Rhinolophus ferrumequinum: one gene and its partner. The protein of the gene in region 1 purifies or fractionates together with the protein of each later gene. This does not show direct contact. Links are inferred from orthologs where the notes say so. Each region holds a gene or a part of one and is shown on either strand. Other genes may lie near its edges.

The links.
Region 2: the proteins of SOST (region 1) and LRP5 purify together in Homo sapiens (affinity purification with mass spectrometry; 3 studies listed by BioGRID and IntAct, counting the BioPlex papers as one, with this or other methods). This does not show direct contact. The link is inferred for Rhinolophus ferrumequinum from reciprocal best matches to the Homo sapiens genes SOST and LRP5.

What each region holds. Positions count from the first base shown.
Region 1 is NC_046304.1:38,981,185-38,991,232, reverse strand, and holds SOST (sclerostin), read left to right. Parts: upstream 1-3,872; 5' UTR 3,873-3,941; coding exon 3,942-4,161; intron 4,162-6,903; coding exon 6,904-7,325; 3' UTR 7,326-8,893; downstream 8,894-10,048. UniProt on the Homo sapiens protein: Negative regulator of bone growth that acts through inhibition of Wnt signaling and bone formation.
Region 2 is NC_046294.1:4,386,074-4,396,121, reverse strand, and holds the start of LRP5 (low-density lipoprotein receptor-related protein 5), read left to right. Parts: upstream 1-4,038; 5' UTR 4,039-4,153; coding exon 4,154-4,229; intron 4,230-10,048. UniProt on the Homo sapiens protein: Acts as a coreceptor with members of the frizzled family of seven-transmembrane spanning receptors to transduce signal by Wnt proteins.

The DNA of each region.
Region 1 (10,048 bases):
TTCTTCCCTGTTACAGGAGCTCCTGGAGGGGGAGCGTGTCAGTTCATAGCACCCGGCAGGAGGTCTTGTTTCATTAAATGTTTAGCAAGTGGACGTATGAACAAGCAGTGTGGTAGAAGCAATACCCAGTAAATCATCATATAGAAAAAACAGCCTTACTAGGAATTTAGGTATGGTATTACAATATTAAATTCAATTTAAAAAATCTTAGCTCAAAACCCGTGTTGGCAGCCTGGTGGAGAAACATGCGGTTATGGTTTGATTTGTGTCCCTCCAAAATTCATATGTCAAATCCTAACACCTAGTACCTCAGAATGGGGCCTTATTTGAAGTAAGGTTATTATAGAGGGACCATGTTTCCCCGAAAAGAAGACCTAGCTGGACAATCAGCTCTAATGCATCTTTTGGAGCAAACATTAATGTAAGACCCCGTATATATTATATTATATTATATTATATTATATTATATTATATTATATTATATTATATTATATTATATTATATTATATTATATTATATTATATTATATTATATTATATTATATTATATTATGACCTGGGTCTTATATTAATTTTTGCTACAAAAGACCCATTAGAGCTGATTGTCCGGCTAGGTCTTATTTTTGGGGAAACAGGGTAATTACGGTAAGATCATTAGAGTCAGCCCCAGTATGACTGATGTCCTTATAAAAAGGGGGAATTAGGACATGGACATGCACACCGAGGGAACACTGTGTCAAGATGAAGGCATGGATCAGGGTGATGCTTCTTGACAGGCCAAGGAATGCCAAACATGGCCAGCAAACCACCAGAAGCTAGGGGAGAGGCATGGAACAGACTTCCTCACCGCTCTCAGAAGCAACCAACCATGCCAACACTCTGACCTCAGAGTCCCAGCTTCCAGAACTGTGAGACAATACATTTCTGTTGTTTAAGCCCCCAGTGTGTGATACTTTGTTCCAGCAGCCCCAGCAAACTAATGCCCACTTATATGTCACTGGTCAGATTGGGGACCTGGCTGGGATTTCTGGAGAACAACCCTGCAACATGTAGCAAACTGTTTACCCTTTTGGACTAGCATTCACTTCTGGAAAATACTTTAACATTTGAAAAAAAAATTACTTTGTGGAATACTACTGGGCAATAAAAAAGAATACATTGTGGATAGTACATGCAACAACTTGGATGAATTTCCAGGGAATCATGCTGAGTGACAAAAGTTAATCCTAAAAGGTTACATACTAGTTGATTCCTTTATATAACATTTCTGAAATGACAAAACTGTAGAAATGGAGAACAGATCAGTGGTACCGTGGGTTAGCGGTGAAAAGGGTTGGCATGGGCGGAGGGTGATTCTAGTTATAAAAAGGCAACAAGAGAATCTTTGTGGCCACAGAGTTGTTCTTTATCTTGGCTGTGATGGTGGCTACTTGACCCTGCACATGTGATAAAGTTTCATATAACTAAACATACTCACGTACAAGTAAAATGGGGGAAATCTGAATACGATTGATTGGTGGAGTGTATCAATGCCAATATCCTGATTAGGATGTTTCACTATAGTTTTGCAAGATGTTACCATTGAGAAACTGGGAAACGGTACATGGAATTGTCTCTGTATCATTCCTTACAAGTGCATGTAAATTTGCAATTATCTCAAAATAAAAAGTTTAATACAAAAAATTACTTTGTACAGGATGTTCATAGCATCCCTACTGAGGATAGGGGAACACTGAAAATAAACTACCCACAACAGAAGTCAGCTAAAACCCCGGGAGTTTAAGTGCGGGAGTATTGCTGAGCTCTGAACAGCGATAAACTTGTGGACTGAGTAAAGCTAAAGTTGAATTAGTGTTATGTGAAAAAGCAGATGGCATCATAGCAGGTTCTCTCTGAGCCATTCTGTGGAAAGTATGGCTATACGTTGGCAGAGAATAATTCAAAAAGATGTAGATAATTTAGAGATTCAAGTCCACTGGATTCTTCTTTTTCTCTCATTTTAACATTACTTCAGTTTCAAATAAGATAATGACATGAAATAAACAAAATCCTGAGTCTCTCCACTCCTAGTCCCTGGCTCCTCCTTCTGTTTCCAGCAGGTGGCAGAAGTGTTCCAAGGATGGTCCCCACGGTCTCTGTTTCCTTTGGATGGGCCAGCAGCTCTCAACAGCAGGAGGGGCTCGAGCATCAATCCCGCCAGCTCAAGGAATCCAGGCAGCAGAACTGTCTTCTCCGAAGCCCAGGGCAAGGAGGCAGTTGTCTGGCCTCAATAGGGTTAACAGTCCACATTCCAGAACAAGGGAAAAGGAGACTGGTGGGTCACAGACAGGCAGAGGGGGTTCTGGAGGGCCAGCTTCTCACAACACACAGCCTCTGTTGGGAGAGATAGATCACCCCCAACAATGGCCACAGCTGTTTTCGTCTGCCCTGAAGGAAACTGACTTAGGAAGCAGGTATCAGAGAGGGCCCTTCCTGCAGGGGCTTCTGTCTGGCTTGTAAAACTGTCAGAGCAGCTGCATTCATGTGTCGAGTGATGGATGATGGAAAGAAGGAGGGACAGATGGCCACAGATGGACACAGTGACTTACAAGTCCAGGCAGGTGGCAGAGGCCTGGCAGAGGCTCTGCAGGTGGGGCATGCTGATTCATTGCCCAGTGAAAATACCAAGGGGACCTGGGCCACAGCCCTCTTCCCAGCTCCTTCAGGGCCGGAGTGGCTGCACCTCCTCAATCTGTCTGCAATGAAAGCTTCCGCTGGCCCTCCTTTCTTTTCCTGCACCTCAGGTGTGAACCTTCCTGCCCCTGCACCTCTGCCCCTCCCAGGCCCCTCATTCTGCTCCAGGGCTGAAGTAGCAATTCCTTTTGGTTTCTTTGTGGCTGGCTGGACCTGGGGTGGCTTCGTGGAATCCTCCCCGTGGTATGCATCAATCAGATTTTCCATATAGGACTCAACGCTGGTTTTGAAAAATGAAATGGGCTGGGAGACAGAAAAAAAACACGTCAGCACTAAAAATGTTGGCCTTGGCTTTTGCTAAGAAAATGGATTTTGTGCTCTCTACTCCTACCCGCAGCCCGGCCAAAGAAATAACTGTCTTTAGCACATGCGCCTGCGAGCCACAGTGAGTGTCCTGGCCAAAAAGTGCCTGTCACCGTGTGCGGGATCCCTGAGGAGCTTGAAATGCAGTTTCCTCCTTGAGCTCCAGCACCAGTTCCCGTTGACTTGCTCATCCTGGCTACTTATAATGGGAATCCCCATCTCCTTGCCCAAGTGGGCACCCTTGCTGTGGCCCTCAGTTTTCCCTCTTGCCTTCCAGAGGATGCCAAGCAGGGCTTTTTTGATCAGAACAATCAATGCTGAGCCTCATGGACTTGGGACCAATGAGATTTCTTTAAAAGCATGCTTCTGCCTCTATTTGGGTCTGTGGGGGGCCAAATTGACACCCCCTAGGGCCATTTTTTCATGTGACAAATGAACTTGGCCTTAGAAATGGGATCAGTAGGGCTCAGCCCTATGGAGGATTCAGAGCTGCAGTTTTCTTTGTTAAGCTTGTCCAAAGTTTGTTTTGAGAAAGCCTGAGGGCCCCAGGAAGGTAGAGATTAAGAGCCGGGATTCATTTTGATATCTGAAAACCACAGCCGTCTGCTTGTGGGAGGCGCTGGAGAGCAGGCTTGCCTCACACACACACCCCTCTCTCTGGGTCACCTGGGAGCACCAGCAGCAATTTGGGAGTTTGCTGCCCTTGAGGAGAAGTCTTTGTAGCGGGTTTGTTCTGAGCACACCCCTTTCCCTCCCCCTGGGCTGAGGAAAGCATGGGACCAGCACTGCCCCAGCCTGTCATTGGCTGGCACTAGGCAGAGGGGGCTTTAAAAAGGCAAACGTGTCTGGGCTGGGGACTGGAGCTTGTGCTACTGGAAGGCCAAGTGCCCTCCTCCGGCTGGCACCATGCAGCCCTCTCTTGCCCTGTGTCTCGTCTGCCTGTTGGTGCACGCAGCCTTCCGTGCGGTGGAGGCCCAGGGATGGCAGGCCTTCAAGAATGATGCCACAGAAATCATCCCTGAGCTGGGCGAGTACCCTGAGGCCCCGCCAGAATTGGAGAACAACAAGACCATGAACCGGGCGGAGAACGGCGGAAGGCCTCCCCACCACCCCTTTGAGAACAAAGGTATGGGGTGGAGGAGAGCACTTTAAGCATAGGGGTCCTCTCATGGGAGGGTTCTCTTTGGGACGTGTTGAAGACTAGGGTAGACTGTTAGCCACTGCCAGCAACGGTGGAGGGACAGTCTTGTCTGGAAGCAGGAGAAGGATGACCTGCCAGCAGAGCCTGGGAATCTGAGTGCAGTGACTTGAGACTGGCAGGGGGCAGGATGGAGGCTGAGGTGGTGAGGGTACAGCATTGGGACAGGCTCCGAGGCTGGGAAAGCTTTCAAGGGATCCCTTCCTGAGACTACAGGAGCCTGGTCCAGCTGTCGGCACCACTGAGGAGGGAACAAGGCAAGGGAGCCTCGTATCTATGAGCACCTGCTGGAGGCCAGATGCTCTCTGTGAGCTGTACATGGGCTGTCCCCCAGGGACCCACCACGTGGAAGCCCCCTAAGGTGAACTCCCAATTTGAAGGTGAAGAAACTGAGGTTCCAGAAATGAAGTAATCTGGTAGTGAGTAGAAGAACTGAGATTTGAACCCCTTTTGATCCAATTCCAAGACAGCCCAGGTAGGGGATTATGGGTGGAGTGTTGGGGACCAAGAGCCAGAGCAAATCCCTCTAAAGCAGTGGGAAAGGGATGGCAGAAAAGCACTCCATCAATTCCCCCTGCCCATGGTCTGCCCGGTGAGCTGGCACTTGAAGGAATGAGAGTGTAGGCACAGTTTTAGCCTCTGGGTGGCAGCTGGACCTTGGAGGGGAGGCAGCATCCTCTGTGCAGGGAGTAGACACAGGTGGCACCATCTGTCCTGGGTCCCCACCTCATATTCGACCTTGCCTCATTTCTGGGGAGGGAGCCTGACCCTACTGAAAAGTCAATGGCCCCAGTGGAGGGTACACCTGGGTTCCTGATCAGGTGCCCACAGAGAAGCCTGTGGGGCAGTGTGCACAGCTGGCTCTGCAGCTGGCAGGAATGGCTGGGGGTGGAGGCTGGGATGACACTTCAGACTAAGGGCCTCAGTGCCCTCTGGCCATTGTCCAGAGGGGAGAGGAGCCCACTGCCCAGGCTCCTACATTCCATCCGTCCCTTCCTCCCAACTAGCTGGGAACATGGGGCTCTGCCAAGAGCAAAACCAGAGGAGCCTGGGGGTCCCTTGGGTCTTCCTACCTGGAGGGCGGGCGTGCCCTCCCCCTACTTCCCCCACCCCCAGAGAAGGTCAACTAAGCTCAATCCATGGGCTCTAGGGGACCCACCTATGAGATGTCCACATCCCTGAGCTCCCATGAGAGGCCACAAGCCCCAAGGAAGCCACTTGCTCAAAACAAAGTCACCCTCTGAAGAGGAAGTGCCTGACCTAGGGGCACTATTCTTGGAAAGCCCAAAAGCCTTCTTCCCTGGGCAAACAAGCCACCCCCACACACCACCCCTGCAGCCTGGGAGCAGGAGTGAGGATGCCAAACCAACCCAGAAACCAGAAGGCCAGCCACAGGAGGAAGGCAAGCTCCACATCTCCCCTGCTGTGTTTGCTCTCCAGTGTCTGGCTCTCTCTGCCCCCTCTCCGGTTTTGGTCTTAGGATTATTTTTCATCCCTTTGTGTCACATGGGTCCCATAAGACTCTTGGGGGTGGACAGATGCCCACACGAGGATCAGCTGTTTAAAAAGCTCCCGCTCATCTAAACCCATAGTAGAAGACACCATCAAGGTGACTTTAGGGGCCTAAGCCAGGTCTCAGAGCTCAGTCTTACCCCACCCAAGAAACAAGCCTGTGCCACCATCAAGTGTCTATTCAAATGGCACAGAGCAAGAGACGTGTCCAGCAGGGTGCCTGGTACACAGCAGGTGCTTAATAAATGTTTGTGGCAGTTGAGCCTGTAGGTTTTCCGGCAGAGCTTGGTCCCCTTCTGCTAGGGAAGTAACTATAGTAAAAAGCAGCCCTCCGCCCCGCCCTCCCCTCACTCCCCAGCCCAGCCTCCCATGGTTGCTTAGGCACACAGCTTCCACCTGTGTGGGAGCCAAGAGGTGCTGGGGCCCCAGGGAAGTAGAGTCAGGAGACCCAGCTCTGCCTTTTGGGCAAGTGCTTTTCCCTGTCTGTCCTCAGTGATAATGAGGGGGTTTGCCTTTGGCTCCTTTCAAGTCTAATGACTTGTCCTCCTCTCCACCTCTCTTCCATCCTTCTCCTTAGCAGCAGCTGCCCTGATTTATCACCTTCAATTAATCCCTACCCCTGTCTCCATCCCCTAACCGCCCCTCCCAAGTGGCCAGAAAAGGAATTTGGGAGAAGCCAGAGACATGCAGACGGTGTGGCTAGTACCTACCCTGCCATGGCCAGGGACCCTGTGGCACAGGTGTGACCGAAGTCTGGCGAAGAGGAACAATAATAATACATAGTAACAGCCAACACTTCCAGCTTTTACTATGTGCGGGTGGTGTCCCCTGCATTACATATGTGATGGATAAATGAACGGAATCCTCAAGACAACCCATTTTACAGATAGGTTGCAAAAATACCAAAAACCAAAAACCAAAAACCAAAAAAAAAAAAAAAAAAAAAAACCACCAAAACTTGGCTTCAAAGTTTTAGGAGGAGAGGGTGGGCTGGAGAGCTTCCCACCGGCTGGGCCCTTCCCGTAATAGATGCCCAGAGGCAAAAGAACCCTGTCTGGAGAAAGGCAGGTTTGGGGAAGGCGGGGTGAGGGGGATGGAGGGGTGTAAGGCCTAAGGCTTGGAGGGAGCCGCCGCCCTCACGCGCGCCTCTCTCCGCAGACGTGTCCGAGTACAGCTGCCGCGAGCTGCACTTCACCCGCTACGTGACGGACGGGCCATGTCGCAGCGCGAAGCCGGTCACGGAGCTGGTGTGCTCGGGCCAGTGCGGACCCGCGCGCCTGCTGCCCAACGCCATCGGCCGCGGCAAGTGGTGGCGCCCGAACGGGCCCGACTTCCGCTGCATCCCGGATCGCTACCGCGCGCAGCGGGTGCAGCTGCTGTGTCCCGGCGGCGCGTCCCCGCGCGCGCGCAAGGTGCGCCTCGTAGCCTCATGCAAGTGCAAGCGCCTCACCCGCTTCCACAACCAGTCCGAGCTCAAGGACTTCGGGCCCGAGGCTGCGCGGCCGCAGAAAGGCAGGAAGCCGAGGCCCCGCGCCCGGGGCGTTAAAGCGAACCAGGCCGAGCTGGAGAACGCCTATTAGAGCCACCTGCCCGCCGCGCCACCCCAGCCGGCGCCCCCCATCCGGGCGCCGCAGGTTTCTGCCCTCTGCGCGCGGTTTGATTGTTTGTATTTCATTTTAAATGCCTGCAACCCAGGGCAGGGAGCTGAGACCTGCCTGGCTTCGCAGAAGGTAGCCAGACCCTGCGGATCCCGGGTGCCAACAAAGCCCCACTCTCCCCGTCCGCCCGCCGAGAGGGTCCCGCAGGGCCGGGGAGGGAGAGTCACAGACACTGAGCCATGCGGCCCCGCCCACCGGGGCCGCCTACCTTTGCAGGTCCCACTTCAGAGGAGGCAGGAAAGGAAGCATTTCACCGCCCCGGGGTTTTAGGAAGCGGTGGGGAGTGAGAAAAGTCTGGGGACTGGTTAAGAAATTTCCATAAGATCCCTATCCACTTCTCTGCGTGTCGTAAAGCCTTTAGTGCCACGCTGTGCCAAGAACACAAGACGGGGGTCTGAGAATAGGGTTTCTAGTCCTGGTTCTGCCACTAATTTGCTGGTGAACTTGGACTACAGTCTTCTCTTTCTGGACTTCGATTTCCTCTTTGTAAAATGCAGGTGGGGGTGGGATTAGGATCTCCGGCAATCTTCTGTCATAAGATTCTAAGGGCTCTGGTGCTTGTTGAATGGGCAGGGAGAGAGGTTGGATTGAACCATGGTCATGTCCAGAATTCGGAGTTGTAATCCTGTGACCTGACAGCCAAAGATGAAAAACAAACAGGAAAAAAGAGTCTATTCGTGCCTGACAGACTCCCGAAAGACACGGAGTTGTTTCCCAGGCTGGCTTCCCTAGATGTTTGGCTACCTCCACCCTTCCATCTCAAAGGATGCAGAAGCAACATCATTAATTGGGGTAGAGAAGGAGAAGGTCCCAAGGGTGGTGGGAGGAAAAGAAATCACCCCCCTATTCCCAAAGAGCAGTGTCCCGCCCCCACCCCGTGGCCATATTTTAAAGTCACCTTCTGCAGAGAAGCTCAAGGTCCCAGGACACTGGGCTTGCAGGCCCAAGGGAGCAGCCACCACCCTTTCAAAGACCAGCAAGCAGATCCCTTCAGAGGCACCTCTTCGTAACTCATGGACACATTTCTGTCTAGAAAATTGCTTCTTACTATTGTTACGTGTGTGGTGGCATATCTTACATTAAAATGATATTATTGGGGAAAAATTACAAGTGCTGTACATATGCTGAGAAACTGCAAAGCCTAATAGCTGCCATCCAAAAATCTTTTTGAAAATCATTTCCAGACACCTCTTACTTTCTGTGTAGTTTATAATTGTTCAAAATTTTTTTGTTGTTGTTAAACAGAAGCACATGCCATGTGAAAGCCTGCTGGGCTGGTTGTTTTCTGCAATCCTTTCATGTGGGATTTGTCCACAAGAATGAAAGTCGTGGTTTTTAAAAAGAGTTAAGTTACATATTTATTTTCTCATTTAAGTTATTTATGCAAAAGTTTTTCTTGTAGAGAATGACAACGTTAATATTGCTTTATGAAATACCAGTCTGTTCTTTCAGAATCCAGAAGCATTGTTAATAAACACAATGAGTCGTTATGGAGAGGATGTGGTCTCATTTCTCAACCACACACAGTCATTTCTGTCAGTTAACATCCTTCTTTGGGTCACTATGACACCTTTGACTGCACGATGGTGGCCCTTGTGACAATTATGTCCTTTGAAAAGTCATGTTCGTCCCTTCCTCTCCAAACCTAGACCTCATTCCTTCACTCTGCTATTGTAATAAATCTCAGCCTGGTCTCCCTCAAGCAGCCTGCCCTTCGCACTGTTCCAAAAACACGGTTCTCATTGTGTCACACCCCTGCTCAAAATCCCTTAATAGTTCCTCCTTGCCCAGCATCAAGTTCAGTCTTCTCAGCCTGACAAATAAGGCTTTTGCCTGCTTAACTCCCATCCTCCACTTCCCCAAGCTTCCTTACTGACTCCAGGTGCCACATGCTGTACTGATCCCCACCTCCCTAGTTTGCTCCCCAGCCTCAAACAACTCTTGCTCTTTCTTTGGGGTTCATGTTCCTTGTCATCTCTTCCCTGACCCTCCCAGAAGTGTTCCAATCCCCACTGATCCCTCGCGCCTCAGATGTCCAGCCCCTTTTGTCCATGCCTCTATTTTGGTTCCTAAGTCTCTGATTCGACATTCATTCGTGGACCACCGGCCTCACCTGGCCACACCCTGCTGAGTAATGGGATAGACACAAAGCCAAGGATAATTCAGGACCAGCTCACAGGAAGCGCAGCCAAGCTTTGACCCAAACATGAATTTTATGCCTCTCTGGTGAGGATATAAGATTGTCACAAGCAAGGACAATATCTTGCACTTCTCTCTTAGTGCCAGATGCTAGCTGAAACTCAAGAGATACTCTTTAAATGCCATAAGGAGGGATAATCAGTTGCAAAGCTTTCAATCAAGTCCAGCCCACCCCCAGAACCTTCCTTACCCCCAAAAGGAAGCTGAGGTCCGCCCGTGATGACTTTGAACTTTAACTCCCAATGAACCCTCCCAAAGCCACCATCATCATCAACAAGTCTGTGTCAGGTGTCAGTGGGTGTTGCTGCTCCAGGCCTGTGAGGAATCTGTGCATTGTGAGGAATCCAGAAAACAGGAGCAGGTAGGAAGTGGATACATGGTTCAGCCCCCGGAGACAGTGTGGCTTAGTGGTGGGACACTGGCTCGGGAGCCATGTTTGTGTCTGA
Region 2 (10,048 bases), on another chromosome or scaffold:
TCTGTCCAAACACATTAACAGTCACAGGTTCCCAGGATTAGGGTGCGGACATATCTGTTTGGGGGCTACTATTCAGCCCACTATAGGTGTCTTTAAAGAGCTAAAAAAGGGATATCAAACCTGAATATCAACTTCTTAATCTGTATTGAAAATAACCCTGCTGGGTGCACCAGACAGTCACGTGGCATTAATGCTCCCCCAGGATCGAGTCACATGACGAGCCACAGATCAGGAGGAGGGAAGCTCAGGGCTACAGAAACTAAGGGCTGGATGCCAACTATCGGAGAGAGAAGAGCAAGTGTGCGGGGTTGCCTAACCCACACTTGCTCTTGTGCCCTATCGTGGGCCCACACTAATCACAAGTCACGTGAATGCAGGGCTTCAAAGTATAAAGAACATTTTTATGAATCTTCTCTTGGATGAAGTTCACATCAGCACTAAGAGATAAACAGTTGAGCAGATATTCCCATTTTATGAATGAGGAAACTGAGGCTCAGAGGGGAAGTTTAGCCCGTGTCCCTCACACCCCAGCTGTCTCCACAGGAGCCGTGGCTCCACTGCCAATTAAGCCTTGCACTGCCCACCACCATGCGCTGGTGGCTGCCTCCCCTTGCCTGCTCCTGGAGCAGGTTGCTCGGAGGTGGTGCTGTTGCAGGGGGAGGCCCTCTGGGATCTGAGGGATGGGCTGGTCAGTGGACATTCCCTCTGCCCTCCTCCACCGAGCTGCCCTCAGGAAGATGCTCGTGGTTCAGAGAGCCGGGAATGCTGGGAGCCTAAGGCACACCTCTGTCCACAGCCGCCAGGCCTGCCGGGAGGGAGGGCTCTCGTGCCCAGAATAACTCTCCAGAGTCAGCATGTTCCCGCATGGGAGGGAAACCAAAAAGGCACTTTCCCCAAATGTCACGGGGCTGAGGTGGCATCTTTCGATGGGCCCTGAATGGACCCCAATTGAGCCCTTGTCCCCAGAAACTATTAGATCTGACAGGTGCTGAGCCCCTGTTACTTCCCTGGGATGAAACCTGCATCTGAGGAATAAATTGAGAGTGAACATTTCCAAACGCGAGACCTAAGGAAACTTTCGTGGCGTGATGAGCTGTGACAGGCAGCCTTCTGGGAAGCCTAACACGTTCTCCAGCTGCTTCTTACATTAGTGAAGAATGTAAAGATTACTGCCCTTGTGATGTAGGAATTCTGCAGAATAGTACCTCATTCTCATTTGTTCTTTACAAATGACTTTTCTCAAAGTTTGGATGGAGTCATTGCTGTGATGCCTGAAGACCTGGGGCACAGTACCTTTCCTGTGGGGGGGTCTCTACAATTGACACCCCAAGAGTTGGCACAGGAAACCCCAGGGCACCCCAGGAGCTGCTGCCAGCCTCCGCCATCCCCTGACTTAAATGCCCTCTTCTCTATTTATTGAAGTCTCCCATTCTGACAATCAAGCTTGCCACCTTCCTCCTCCAGAACAAAGAATCCCAATGTTTGTTTGTTTGTATTCTTGGATCATTTTACTTTCAATCATCTGCATAACTGAGCGTAAGGTCTTCAGCTCCTCAGTATCCCTTCTCAGATTTAGAAACTTGACTTGAACTTTAGACCTAGCGTAGTTCCTATGGCGAGCCACCTCGGGCCCCCTTCCCCTCTTCTCCACAGCCAGTGGCCTTAGTGAGCCCCATTTGCTTTTCCTAAAGCATCCCAAATCCAGGTCCTTCTCACCATTCCTGAGCTCCCCACCCCTTGCCAGTCCAAGCTGCCATCTCTCCTGGCGGCTACTATGGTACCCAGTCCCCTCATTCCCTCTTCCCTCCTGACAATCTTGTTCCCACTTGGCAGCCAGAGTGCTCCTTTTATAAATGTAAATCAGATGTTTTCACTTCATTCATTCAACAAACGTTTTGTAAGCACCTACTATGTGCCAGGCCCTGGTCTAGGTTCAGGGGATACACAGGGAACAAAACAAAGGACAGTCTCTGTTCTCATCGAGCTTCCATTCTTGGACGGAAGAAAGGTAAGTTTAAACACTTAGTCTGTCAGATGTCGCTCAGTGCAAAGGAGAAAAGTAAAGCGAAGAAATGCAGCAGGAAGAGGCAGCATGGGTGCGTGTTCCAGGGGGTGTGGTTTACAATTTTCAAAGGCGGGTCAGGGAAGGCCTGGCTGAGCAACCGAAGATGTGGGGAAATAAACTATGTGGCTAACTGGGGTAAAACAGTTCCAGCAGAGAGATCAGCAAGTGCAAAGGCCCTGAGGCAAGAGTGTGCTCGGTGTGTCTGAGGACCAGTGAGGAGGCCATTGTGTCTGGAGCAGGGTGAGGGAGAGGAAGGAGGGTGCAGAGGAGGTTGGAGAGATAATGGGAAGGGTGTGGCCAGATCAGGCCCAGTAGTTGCCATAAAGCCTTTGGCTGACATGGGAGCCAGAGAAGATTCTTGAGCAAAGAAGGGATGTGATCTGACTTGTTTAAACAGGCTCATTCTGGCTGTGAGATTAGGCTGAAGGGGGTCAAGGCAGAAGCAGAAGACCCATGGAGGTGAGAGGGGACCCCAACAAGGGTAGTGATAGCACAGGTATGAGAAGAGCCGGGAGTCTGCATCTGTTTTGAAAGTAGAGCCAACAGGATGTGCTTCTAGGGTTGGGCACAGGGTGTGAGAGAGCAATCAGCAAGGGTTTTGCTACTCAACACCCACGATGGCTCCCCACTGCTCTTGGGGTCCAGGTCTGATCTGCACTGGCTCCAGCTAGCTCCTCCTACTGCTTTGTCAGGCGTCTCTACCTCCCTACCTCAGACTTCCCCCAGACATTGCAGTACAATAATCTTCATTTTTCATGGCATTCCTCAGTCTGTTAATGGTATTTTGGTTTTTTTTTTTAATTTTAAATTTATCTGTCTTCTTGTTTTTGCTTGCCTCCCTAGAATATCAGCCCCACTCAGGACAGAGAGGTTCTGCCCGACCACTAGGTTTGTAAGGTTGTCACAAGTACGTGAAGAATATTCGCATCTGTGAGTATCAGTTTTTGGTGATTTACCGCTAGTTCTCTCGCACCTGCAAGGTAGGCACTGCTTCCCTATTTTATAAGGGAGGAAAGTGTGCCGGGAAGGTTATATTTAGACCTGCCCAAGGGCACACCTGATTCTAGGAAGCTGCAGAGCCAGAGTTGGGGCCCGTGGTTTCCAGAGCCGGGGCTGTGCTCCCTCTAAGTCCCTCCTGTGCCCTGAGGGTCCAGGCAAAGCTGGACGCTCAGGTGGCCCAGAGCTGGGAAGATGAGGAGCTCAGGGCCTGCTTGGCGGAGTCAGAGATGAGGTCTGCCATCCTAGAGGGGCTTTCTCGCTCAGTCCGCTTAGAAGGATGTTGAGAAGACCAGCGTGTCTTCGCTCAGAGTCTGTACCACAATGAATGTAGAGGGCGTCCGTTTAGTTTAAAAATAAAACCTTAGGCCCACCCCAATCCCAGCCCGTGTAGCTACTGCCTCACTCTCTCATCCGCTTACAAGTCTGTTCGCGCCCTGCGCCGATTCGCCGTCGTCCTCTGCCCTCCTGGGTGACCTCACCAGTGCGAACAGGTGTCGCCTGGCCGCCCGACCCGGTCCTGCCGTGGGGGCTGCGGTCGCGGGGAAGTGCACAGACCTGGCTCGGGGCCCCTGGCTTTCAGCCCCCAATCTGCTTCACTGTGTGTCCGGGGGCAATGTCCCCTCCCCGAAAAAAAACCCAACAACCCTGTGCCTCAGTTTCCCCCTCGGTAAAAACCAGGTACTTGCGGCCCTACAGGTGACACACCTGCTTCCGGGCCCCGGGCCCTGCGGGGTGAAAGCCCCGAGCCCGACCCTGCGCCGGGAGGAGCCCGGGCGGCCTTCCCCGCGGGAGGCGGGGGGCGCAGGGAGGGCCGTGGGGAGAGCGCGCAATGACCGCCTCGCCGCCGGCCGGCTCCGGGGGGCGCCCGCGGGAGGGCGCGGCCGGCGCGGGGGGCGCGGGCGGGCGGCAGCGGCGGGGGGCGGAGACGCGGCGCGGCTTCCGCTCCCGCGCCTCCTCCCTCCTCCCCCGTCGTCCTGGTCCGCGGCGCCCGAGGGGGAGGCGGCAGGCGCCGGAGCCGCGCGAGGAGCCGCCGCGCCGCGCCATGGAGCCCGAGTGAGCGCGGCGCGGGCCCGGCCGGCCCCGGATAACATGGAGGCGGCGCCGCCCCGGCCGGCGCCGCCGCTGCTGCTGCTCGCACTCTGCTGCAGCCTGGCCCCCGCCGCGGGTAGGTGGGCGCGGGCCGCAGGGACAATGGCCCGGACGCCCTGGCGGCCCGCGGCCAAGTGCGCGGCGCGCGGTAGCCACTTTACAAGTTGGGGGCGAGTTGGGGCGCGCGCCGCGGATCCCCGCTGCTCCCCGCCGTCCCCGCTGCCCGGGGGCCGCGCGCGGTCCCTTTGTCTCGCCCGCCAGGGCCCCTCCCGCGGACGCCGGGCCCGTCCGGAGCGTCCCGGGGCGGCGAGGAGGGTGCGCAGGCGGCGCCGACCCCGCCAGGTGCGGCGCGGCGCGGGCGGGTCCTCACCTGCCCGGGCCCCGGGGCGCGCTCGGAAGTGCGCCCGCGTGAAGCCAGCGGGCGAGGCCGTGCTGGGACCCTGGGCAGGCACCGAGCGGGGACTTTCGGCCCGGAGACAGGCCTGGCCGCCCTGCGTTGGGAACTCTTTGGCGAGCCTGTTTCCGATGGCCGCGCAGCCGGCCTGCGAGCTCCGAGAACTGATTTAAGTTGCAGAAAAAGTTCTGAGACAGGGCGCGGGGCGGCCTGGCCTGTTGCGCTGGCCTTTCATCTGCGTCGCAGTAGGTTTCCAAACGGACTGACACCTGCCAGGTGCCTGGACGATACGTCTGGCCGCTGGGGCCCCAAACAGTGACGCCCGGCCCGTGTCCACCCCAGGGGCCGACTGTGTGGGGCCACCGCGGGGGTGACCTGGTCCCAGAGCGTGGCGTGGTGGGGCAGCGTGCTGGTGCCTCAGTTGGGCACAGCCTTGGGGAGATGGAGGGCTGGGGACCTTTCTCTCCAACTTTTGGTGTGTCCCAAGGGGTGGAGTTGAGGTCGGGAGGGCTCAGGAAACCTAAGCGCCTGCGAAACGCTACACATGTTCTTTTAATTTGGAGATTGCCATGTGGTTTTTGAAGCAAGTCTCTCGCTACCTAAATCATTATCTTCTGACGTGAGTGTTGTTTTTCTGCAGTGTGGCTGGCCAAGTAGACACGGCCAGCAAGTCCTGTGCTCTTGGGGCTGCTGTTCTGCTGGTGGCCGTTTTTTGGGGGGGGCAGGGGGCCTCGGGTGCCTTTGTCTGAGCCTCTTCAAGACAAACAAGACAAACAGCTGTCTCTCTGGATATTTCCAGTGTGGACATTGCAGCGAGGTGTACTGGCCTGGCTCTGTGGTCACATTCCCAGGGCTGTGGCCCCTCCACTGAGGTTTGGGGGGGGGGGGTGTTGCAGAGAGGCCATGGTTTCCTCAAGTCCCCCTGCCTCCTAGCCCAAGCCTAGAGACTGTCAGTGGTTTCCCCCCAAATTTGTCTCTCTCAGGAACGTGTTTACGTTTCTCGGCCATGTCTGATACTAGCAAAACAAGGTGACGACAAAACAATGACAGTATCTGGGTAGTTCAGGCCAACGCTGCTCCTTTTCTTTCCGGAAATGCCTGGAACATGGAGGCAAAAGGGTTTTTTTTGGGAAGATGTTTGTTTTAAAGGTGGGGTTTCTTAGCCGGCTCTGTTGATCTGCACTTCCTTGCAGTTTGGGATTTCCTGTACCTTTCGGGGTGATGGTTCCTGGAGGCGAATGCCTGTCGTTGTGTGGTTCGAGCCCCTAAGAAGATGAATCGTGTGTGGCGTTCAGTTGTGTGTGAGGCAGAAATAGAGCTGATTATTTTAACATTAGGAAGCATGTCAGCACGAGGGTTTTAGTGCACCAGCTGATGGGGTGACCCAGGCCTAAAATGGATGGACAAGTCCTGGGGCTGTTCTTGATATGGTATGTCCCTGATTTCTGTGTTCGATTTATGCATCCGTCCGGAGTGCAGCCAGTAAGTTGGTAGCTCATTATTTTTCCTGATTGCTTCCTGTTGCAATTTGAAGCTGTGAGCCCACGGAAGTGCCTTTGTTCCTGGTCCCGGTACTGGGAATGGCCCAGGCCGCTCCCCTCTGTCCCCACAGCACTTGCTCCAGGCCCAGCCTGTCCAGGACTGGCCCACTGGGAGGGCCCAGCGGGTGGCTGTTGAGTAAACTAAATGCCGTGTGGAGTCCACTGAGAGAGCCCCCCCCCAAAGGACTCTGTGCTTTTCAAAGCAGGGCCCACATGCCTGTAACCTCCCGTTCGGATCCAAGAATTTCCCCAGTCAACCCAAACGATCCAGCATTTGCTGTGGAGATCCCGTCGTATTTGGAACCCGTCTAATTTCAGCAGCACTGTGTCACCGCTCAGGCATTTGCCAGAATTTGCACACTGGTTGGGCGGGGGTGTGTGTGGGGGTGCAGTCAGGTGAGGACGAAGCATGGCTGCCTGCCTATGGCAGGGGCTCGTCAGGGCTGAAGTGGGGGGGGGGGGCTTGGGGTCAGACCAACCTGGTTTACATACATGCTCAGCAGCTGGTTGACTTTGGACGACTTACTTAGCTTCTCTGCATCCAGTATCCTCACCTGGTTCCCCCCCAAGCCCAGGCAGTTGGGAGCATTAAATGCTGTGTGAGAAACCCTTGGCACCATCCCAGTCCCGGGTGAGGGACTGGTGGTGGCAGAGCTGCAGTTTCTGTTGTGTAACGGGGTCCTTGATCTTTCTGGTCTGGAAGGTCTAGAAGCTGTTATTACACAGTCTGGATTGTACTTCTCTGTGTGACCTTGGTTATCTCGTTTACTATCTGACTCATTTCTTGCTGTGACACAGAGACCGGTGCTGAACTGTGTGGACAGAGCCCAGGTGGCTGGGGGTCTAATCTGCGCCTTGCTGCCTACTCTGGGAGGGGAGCTTGGGCAGCTGACTCTCCCTTTGTGTGCCTCAGTTTTCTCTTCTGTAAAATGGGGCTAATAATATAATACTTCCTACCATGAGTTTAGTGAGTAACACGAGCCTGGCGCTGTACCAGCTCTTATTATGGTTGATGTTACTCTTTGGCGCCTGTGTGAGGTGCTGGGGATAGAATGACAGATGAGGCCCCCAGCCTTTGCTGCCAGCCATTCTGTGTAGAGAAAGAAGCTGACTAAACAGCTAGGGGAGAGGGGGGCCCAAGGGGTTCCCCCTCACAGTCCCAGAGCCCTGTCCTCAGGGACCAGGTGGTCTCCTCCGTTGAAAGAGGCCAGATCACGCTGCAGAGTCTGGATGTGAGCCAGAAGGCGATGGAAGCTTCTGGAAGACTTTGGTTGGGGGGATAGGAAACACATGCTAGATTCAGGTCTGTCCTAGGTGAAAGGTGTTGAACTAACCTTTTTTTTTTTTTTTTTTAATTGAGAAGACATACACATAACATAAAATTAACCATTTTCAAGTGTACGATTCAGTGGCGTTTAGTAGATTCACAATGTTGTACAACGACCATTTTTTATCAAGTTCCAAAACATTTTCATCACCCCCAAGTAAAGCTCCATTCCCATTACATAGTAGCTCCCATTGCCCCTGCTTACCAGTCGGCTTTCTGTCTGTTCTGGAATTTCATCTACATGGACTCCTACGCTATGTGACCTTTTCTCCTGGCCTTTTCACTTATTTAGTTTTACGGTTTTGAGGTGCATCCGCTTTGGAGCACGTGTCAGCACTCCATTCCTTTTCACGGCTGAACGATATTCCATCAGATGGATAAAGCACATTTGGCTTTTCCACTCCCCCATTGTTGGGTACTTCTCTCAGTGGGCACAGGCTGGGGGCTGTGATGTCCCCGTGGGGTTAGGACAGTGGAAGCTATTTTAGGCTGGGCAAGGACTTGGGCAGGTTAGCATTTAGCTGCTCCCGCCTTGGTTCAGAGACGTGAGAGCTGATGGGGAAGGGGGCAGAGGGGACAAGTTAAGGGCTGGTGCTGGCCTCTGGGGGAGCAGGGGTGCTGGGAGGTAGAGTCAGTGCCATGTTCAGTGTTACAGAAGCCCTGAGCGAAACTGGATATTTGTGGCTTATGAGGTCACTTAGCCCACTCTCAAAACTGGGAGGCTCTGTTGGGAGTGAGGGGCTGTGTCCGGCCCCTTCCCTTTGGGGGCCTGTTGACACATTTGCTCAGAAAGTGGTGGTGTGTGTGCTGGAGACAGGCCCCCTCTGCAGGGCCGTCCCAGGGACAGCACGGGTCCAAGTGCTGACATGCAGAGGCAGCTGCGGTTGCACAAAGAGCCGGCCCAGGGTCCCGCCCGCTGCGCCAGGCTGGTCTCTGCTTTCTCTTTAGCTCTGGAAAGCAGTTTGCTAGCTCTCAGCCTGTTTCGTCATCTGCAAAACTAGTTGGGGTTCAGGAGCCAGTGTCAGGAGGGACCCGGATGGAGGTTGTTCTTTGGACAGGCCATTGTGTGAAGGACATGAGAGGTTCTGTTCTAGGCCTCCAGGTTCCCTTTTAAAAGCGCCCCGAGGTTCCAAGTCCTACTACCCTCATTCAGTTGGAGGCCGGAAGGTGGTGTGAGATGTTGGGTGTCGGTGTCTGGTGCTCATTTGCCCGTGAAGGGTGGCTGGCAGCCCCGATCCAGGCCAGAGCCCCAGCCGGGAGCAGACCTGGCTGCTGGCCCTTCCCCGGTAAGTGGGGAACCTCTGTGCCTCTAAGCCACGTGGGGCATGTGCCAACCAGGGCGCACCCTTGCCCACATTAGTTCTGCCCAGTCTTGAGCCCCGAGCAGGCCGGTTATCTGTGTGGCTCTGGGGCCAGTCTTTGGTTTCTAATTTGTCCCAGTTTGCCTGTCACCCAGTAGGGGACAGTTAGCTCTCCACTGGCCTGCCCACTGGCTCACCCTGCCTGGTAGTATTCGCCTCGTGCTCTTGAGGTAGCAGCAGCCACCTGGCACTGGAACCTCGGGTTGTGATCAGTCTGCCCAGGTCACATGTCCTTTGTCTCTTGCTTTGGACCCCCTGGAGGTTGTCATGGTGGCGTCACCTGTGAGGAGGTGGGGAGATACTACTTCCTGAGTATTTTATTTGCTTTATTGGTCAGTATTTAATTCAACATACACTGTGTGAGTGCTTTCAGTTTGCCTTGATGTAATTTTTCTAGTGGCTAAACTGAAGCGAGGATTTGCTCAGGGAGGAGAGTGGTTTAGCCTTTTGGGGGTCTCTCATGTCCCTCGGAGAATCTGATGAAGGCTTCTCTCCCAGGAAGTCTGTTGCCCTCTGGCGCTAGCAGTGCTGGGTGTGCTGGGACCGTGCAGCTTAAGAGGGGGCTGTCTGGGCCGGGACGGGTAGAGAGGGCTCCCTAGAGGCATAGCGAGGTGGTGGCCTGCAGGCTGGCCTGGACCCAGAGCCTCAGCGTGTGGCTGAGCTGGACCTCCCCGTCTGGGCCCCTCGCTGGCCACCGCACCGTGCCATTCTGCCAAGGGCCCCACCAGTACTCACAACTGCCCACAAGGCCTTTGGTGGTCATCAGAACTCTGTCCTCAGAGGCCCTGGAGACAGGGCCCAGGGGCCGAGCTGCCAGACTGCCCGTGTGAGGTTGGCAGGTCACTCAGCTTGCTGTGCCTCAGGCTCTTCATCTGTAAAACATGATGCCAGTGGTACCCACTGCATGGGGCTGTGTGAAACTTCAGGGTCCAAGCTGGTAGTGTTCAGGCTTTCTCTGTGGGACTGGGCAGCAGGGGTGGGCCGAGTGGGCGGGCTGACCAGCCCTCGCCAGGCTGACACTTACCCTCCTGTGTCTGGCCTGCTGGTTGCCGTCACATAGGGAACTGTCCCTGGAGCTGAGGCCCAGAACTGTCCCCAGGGTCCCCTCATGCCTGGCACGGCACACAGTGCGCTCCATGGGAGCAGGTGTGGGCCCCTGGGGATCCTTAGATCCGGCGGTTTCTGCTGGCCTGGCTGAAAAACTACTGTCCTGGGATCTGCCTTCCCCCTTTCCTTTTTGATTCTTTTAAATTCAGAGCCACTTTTTTATAG